Xenopus tropicalis: one gene and its partner. The protein of the gene in region 1 purifies or fractionates together with the protein of each later gene. This does not show direct contact. Links are inferred from orthologs where the notes say so. Each region holds a gene or a part of one and is shown in the gene's direction. Other genes may lie near its edges. The genes, in order: hipk2 and dcaf7.

Evidence for each region.
Region 2: the proteins of hipk2 (region 1) and dcaf7 purify together in Homo sapiens (affinity purification with western blotting; 3 studies listed by BioGRID and IntAct, with this or other methods). This does not show direct contact. The link is inferred for Xenopus tropicalis from reciprocal best matches to the Homo sapiens genes HIPK2 and DCAF7.

What each region holds. Positions count from the first base shown.
Region 1 is NC_030679.2:7,975,035-7,978,963, reverse strand, and holds the start of hipk2 (homeodomain-interacting protein kinase 2), read left to right. Parts: upstream 1-1,384; 5' UTR 1,385-1,867; intron 1,868-3,929.
Region 2 is NC_030686.2:16,434,691-16,437,301, reverse strand, and holds part of dcaf7 (DDB1- and CUL4-associated factor 7), read left to right. Parts: intron 1-703; coding exon 704-822; intron 823-2,440; coding exon 2,441-2,611. UniProt on the Homo sapiens protein: Involved in craniofacial development. Acts upstream of the EDN1 pathway and is required for formation of the upper jaw equivalent, the palatoquadrate. The activity required for EDN1 pathway function differs between the first and second arches.

The sequences.
Region 1 (3,929 bases):
ATGGGTCCCTTAGACCGATTCGGCAGTTAATCGGCCCGTGTAGGGGCACTACCTACGGGCCTGCCTGACCGATATCTGGCCTGAAATCGGGCAGATATCAATCGTGCAGTTTCAAAAATTTAGTCGGATCGGGGACTGCAGCGACTCATTGATGCGCTCCCCGATCCGACTTCGCCTATTACTGGCACTCTAATTCGATTGTTTGCCCCCAGGTCCAAACGACCGAATTAGCCTGGATTCGCCCGATATCACCCACCTGTAGGTGGGGATATCTGAAGAAGATCCGCTTGCTTGCTAACATCGCCAAGCTTAAAGGTCCCCATACACGGGCCGATTGTAGCTGCCGATATGGGTCCCTAAAGGTGGCCATACACGAGCAGATCCGCTCGCTTGGCGATGTCGCCAAGCGAGCGGATCTTCCCCCGATATCCCCACCTACGGGTGGGCGATATCGGGGAGCATTTAGGTAAAAAAAAAAATAATCCAATCGTTTGGCCCTGGGGCCAAACGATCGGATTATGTGGGCGGCAATGGGGCAGTCGGATCAGGGACCGCATCAACGAGCTGATGCGGTCCCCGATCCGACCGGATTTTCTAACCTGGCCGATCGAGATCTGGCCAATTTCAGGCCAGATATCGGTCGGCCAGGCCGCTCTGCCCTGCCCATACACGGGCCGATTAGCTGCCGAATCGGTCCAAGGGACCCATATCGGCAGCTATAGTCGGCCCGTGTATGGCCACCTTTAGACCGACTCGGCAGCTTATCTGCCTGTGTAGGGGCACTAACGACTGGCCTGCCCGACCGATATCTGGCCTGAAATCAGACATATATCGATCCGGCAGCTTAAATAATTTAGTCGGATGTGGTCCCCGATTCGACTTTTTCTATACCCGTCGTTCTGTTTCGATTAGAACCGAATTAGCCTAGATTCGCCCGATTTTGCCCACCTGTAGTACACTTATTGTACAGCGCTGCGGAATAGGTTGGCGCTTTATAAATAAACGTTAATAATAATAATGCAGTCTTGGGCCTACCCCCCAGCCCCAAGAGCTTGCACTTCATAAAACCTACCCAGGGAGCTGGATAATGACTGGGGAGATGACCTCTTTCAATACCCACCCCCAATACAAACACAGCAAGGCTGCCTCCCCCCCCCCCTCTCCCATTGCACCAAGCTCCTTTGTGACTCCATGAAGGGTTAATAGGATCCCCCCCTCCCCCCCTTTTACTCCTGATTGAAATGTGTTGGTTAAACAGAAATCCCACACAGCCTCTCCAGCAGAGGAGAAGAGGAGAAGGGGAGGGGGGAGACACTTTGAGAAAGTACAGCCTCTCCCCGCCCCCCCCCCCCTCCCCATTGGAATCCATGCGATCGGCGCTCGATTGCTCCGCGAAGGCAGGAGAAAGAGACACACAGAGAAGGGATCGCACCCCCCCCCCCCTCTGCCTTTTTCTCTTTCCTAAATGCAACTTTCCGTGCAGCTCGCTGGGAGGCTGGGTGCGGGGGCTCCCTGCATGGGGGTGCGGACTGAGGGGAACACAGGGGGCTGGAAGGCTGCCCGGGGGGGCTTCTAATAGCTGCCAGCAGGGGGGCTGCGTTGATTAGAAACAATATCTGCATTTACCCCCCCCCCCCCCCGCTCACCTTCCAGGGCAGGCCACTGGCGTTCCCGGTGCTTATTGGGGTGCAGCGGGTAAGATGGGGGAGCAGCCGGACCTGCAGCGGCTCTGACTGACTGATCAATGCGGGAGGCGGACGGGAGCCGGCAGGGTCACAAGCTTGTCCCCCTATTCTCTGTGGGGGGAGCCCCAAAGCGCGTCCAGAGAGGCCCCCGGTATGGCAGCGGTGGAGAGACCCAGACTGCGGTAAGGAACAGCTGAGGGTGATTTTCTAATTCCAACCCCCCCCCCTTCCCAACATTGGGAGCCCCCCGTGTTTATCATTTCCACACCCTGCCCCCCCATCTGCAAATGGACCCTTCCATACTTACCCCTGCCCTGCATTGTGTCTGCCCCTAGAACCCCCTCTGTACCCTTGCCCCCCTATTGCCCATATGGAATATCCTGCACCCCCTCTTCCCCTAGAACCCACTCTGTATCCTTGCCCCCCTATTGCCCATATGGAATATCCTGCACCCCCTCTTCCCCTAGAACCCACTCTGTATCCTTGCCCCCCCTATTGCCCATATGGAATATACTGCACCCCCTCTTCCCCTAGAACCCACTCTGTATCCTTGCCCCCCTATTGCCCATATGGAATATACTGCACCCCCTCTTCCCCTAGAACCCACTCTGTATCCTTGCCCCCCCTATTGCCCATATGGAATATCCTGCACCCCCTCTTCTAGAACCCACTCTGTATCCTTGCCCCCCTATTGCCCATATGGAATATCCTGCACCCCCTCTTCCCCTAGAACCCCCTCTGTATCCTTGCCCCCCTATTGCCCATATGGAATATCCTGCACCCCCTCTTCTAGAACCCACTCTGTATCCTTGCCCCCCCTATTGCCCATATGGAATATCCTGCACCCCCTCTTCTAGAACCCACTCTGTATCCTTGCCCCCCTATTGCCCATATGGAATATCCTGCACCCCCTCTTCCCCTAGAACCCACTCTGTATCCTTGCTCCCCTATTGCCCATTTGAAATATCCAGCACCCCCTCTTCCTCTAAAACCCACTCTGTATCCTTGCTCCCCTATTGCCCTATGGAATATCCTGCACCCCCTCTTCTTCTAGAACGCACTCTATATCATTGCCCAGACGGAATATGCTGCACCCCCTCTTCTCCTAGAGCCCACTCTATATCATTGCCCATTTGGAATATCCAGCACCCCCTCTTCCTCTAGAACCCACTCTGTGTCATTGCCACCCTATTTCCAATATGGAATATCCTGCACCCCCTCATCTCCTAGAACCAACTCTGTATCCTTGCTCCCCTATTGCCCATATGGAATATCCTGCTCCCCCTCTTCTAGAACCCACTCTATATCATTGCCCCCCTATTTCCAATATGGAATATCCTGCACCCCCTCTTCTCTACCTCACCTCAACACCAAATTCTCACCTCTATTATATATATATTGTTATTATACGGGATATGTTGTATATATTCCTCTGTCTCTACTTATACACCCACAGGGGCTGCCTGTAAATAATGGGTGTGATAGGGCGAGGGGTTAAAAATCTAAACTGAACTTGAGTTTTTTTTCTCCTTGGTTCTGTAGGAAGGATGGGGGGGGGGGGGGCTGCCATTGTTTTATTATCTTAGTTTGGCCTTGAAAAAACTAGTGTGTGTGTATATAGGTAAATATATATATATATATATATATATGTATGTGTGTGTGTGTGTGTGTATATATATATATCTCTATCCCCAGCGCCTCCCTCTGTGGCTCTGCAAGGGTGTAGAATGAATTCTCATTAACTCCTTGACTCCCAGCAAGGCACAATACAGAGGAATCGCTTGCCCTTGCCTTGTTACATATTCACATAGAAACTGCCCAGGATCTATTTCGAGAGACTGTTACTCGGGATAAAGTTCTTATATAACAGGGAAGGGTTATTTATTAACTGCTTTTTATGGAAGTGCCATAAAGCGATCCCTCCCCGTGTGACAGGCCACTGGGCACAATGTCGGGGCTGTTTTAGAACATACCCTTCTTTAGTACATTACAGCGCTTAAGCAAAAAATAAAACCCCATATCCCCGTTTAACATGTTCAACGCCGTACGGGTTTCTGCTGCAGTGGCTGCACAATTCTGCGGCTTTGCGGTCTGCGTCAGTCCGACTGCAGCGAGAAGCAGAGACAAAAGATTATATTATTATATAAAAAAGCCTGCACCAGCGGATCCCACAGCCCAGTGCTCTGTCTGGGTGGTTTTAGAGGAAGATTTTGACTTCATAGAATTCCTGATTGGGTGCCCCCT
Region 2 (2,611 bases), on another chromosome or scaffold:
TAATGCATTTTCATAAAACATCACCCAAACTAACACTGAGAGCAAGCCTCTGAGCTTATAAACCAACTTGATACAGTAACTCTATAACTTCTTTAAGCTGACCTTACTTAATATGCCCACCTCCAGGTGGGCGATTTCAGACTGATCCTAGGGCCAAACGATCAGATCATAAAAATGGGGATACAGGCCATTGGGATGGGATTTTTAAACCCCAGATTTCATCCAGATATTGGTTTGGTAGGCCCATTGGAGGGCCCTAAAATAAACAGGTGATAAGCTGCTGACTTGGGCTGAATGAGCAGCTAAAATCTGTCCTCTGGTCCATATGGTTATCTTTAGTTTTCATTTGCCTTTCGAGCAAACACATTTATGTACATGCATTGTACTCTCTTTTAGGTGGATATATAAACCAATTCAGTGCAGTTACTCTATACCTCTTACTTTTTAGAACACTCTCTTTAGTCTTCACCTAACCCCTAATACACGCTTCAATTGCCTCCCTAGCAAGCCGATATTAACTACATGCAGTGTTCAAGTGGACATATAAACCAGCTTGATAACAATATACTGTCCCTGTCTGGAACAAATCAGACCATCATATATCGGCCATTTCCCTCTTGTGCTAGGACTTTCTATTGTTTGTATTGTGGGTATAGGAATGTTCATTGGACTGCAGAATAACATTATTTTCTTTAACCTTCAGGAACCTCAAGTATTGATACAACATGCACAATCTGGGGTTTGGAGACTGGACAGGTCCTTGGCAGGGTTAATCTGGTGTCTGGACATGTGAAAACGCAGCTCATTGCCCATGACAAAGAGGTGAGAAGCCTTTGGTTTATCGGTAGGAAATGTGATATGGGAAGGTATGTACAGACTATCCCATGAGTGAGTTCCAGTCACACTTCTCTGAGGCTCTCTATAGTTTGCTGGGTTGCTTTGTGCTGCATGCCCATATTGTGGCTGCGGGGGGATTGCAGTTGTGGGTAAAGAGACACCTGACTTAACGGGTCTGGGTTGCTAGAGCCTTTAGATTTGTTCAGAGAGTAGTAATCGGTTTGAAGACCTTGTACAGGTCTAGGCCCAACCCATTGCTCTTGGGGTATCTGTAAGGGCAAGCACAGAGACGTGTTATTCAGGCCTTTACCGTGCTCCCTATTCCCAAGGGGGGTTGTTGGATGGTTAGTGCCTTTCTCTCAGCGGGAGGTGGTGGCACCTCCTTCTCCTTCATCTGCCTCTGCCGGAGAATTTAAAAAAAATGTGTGGTGTCGCCATCTTGTATAGCAGGAGAAAAGTCCAGATATATGGAGATTGTGATGCCATTGTATAGAATCGGGCCTTTGAGCCTTGCTACGCTCAGAGCTGCGACCCGTTCCCTAAAGTTGAGCAGTTTGAGTCGGAATGGTGGTCTTGGTGGTGCTCCCGGTGGGGGTGGCCTGGGAGGAACTTGATGGGCTCTTTTCACCACGAATAGTGAGGAGAATGTATCTGCTTCCACTACATCCTATAGCCATTTGCAAATAAATGCCTCTGGCTGCTGTCCCTCCACCCTTTCGGGAGCCCCACTATTCTGATCTTGCTCATCCTAAGTCTATTCTCCAGGTCTTTGTTTTGTCCATTAGTGCTTAGATTTGCTGTTACTGATGGCATGGTGTTGTGTATGGGGTTAATTGTATCCTCGGGAGACCTGAGTTTCCACAGCAGCAGTGCGGCCTCTCATGTATTAGAGGTCCGGGCGCAGGAGGGACAAGTTGATCTTAATCCCTTCTATTTGTGAGGTAGTGGCTGCTCTAGTTTCTTTTATAGCTTCCAATAAGTCCCCCATTGTGGGCTCGCTAGGCTCTTGGTTGGGAGGGGGGCCTGGTGGTTCTGGCGTTAATGTCTGGCAGAAGCTTTTGTCCAGCGGGAACCTGGCTGGGTGAGTGAGGGCGTAGCCTCTGATCTCATACATGGAAAATGTTTGCCCATGTTGGCTTTTAGTACTGCATTCCAGTGGTTGCTGGCAAACTGTGAGTGAGTAGTAAATGGAGTGTGGAGTGAAGAGAACTGCCAAAGAGATCAATCGATACACAGAGCTCTCACTTTATGCATCTGGTTTGGTCGCCATCTTGGACACACCCAAGTGGTGTCATTTTTACAGCACCAATTGGAGATGGGAATAAATTACATTAGAGCATTATTCAGGCAGCAAAAGATGGGGCATTAATAAATTAAACTAGGAAAGGTTCAGAGGAAGTCCTAAATGTCTTGTCATTGTTTTCCAGTGTACACGGTGATGGGTCCTGCAGGTTGTGCAGTTATAGTTACACAGGGTTGAAAAAATCCAAAGTCCGTCAAGTTCAACCCTTCCAACTGAACCCAGTGCAGTATGAATGAGTTAGGTTTTTTTAACCCATATGAATATAAAAGTATTTTCTTTCCCCTCCCCTGTGTGTGACAGGTCTATGACATTGCATTCAGCCGTGCAGGAGGGGGCAGAGACATGTTTGCCTCTGTGGGGGCAGATGGCTCTGTGCGAATGTTTGACTTGCGCCACCTGGAGCACAGTACAATCATCTATGAAGACCCCCAACATCATCCATTACTTCGACTGTGTTGGAACAAGCAGGAT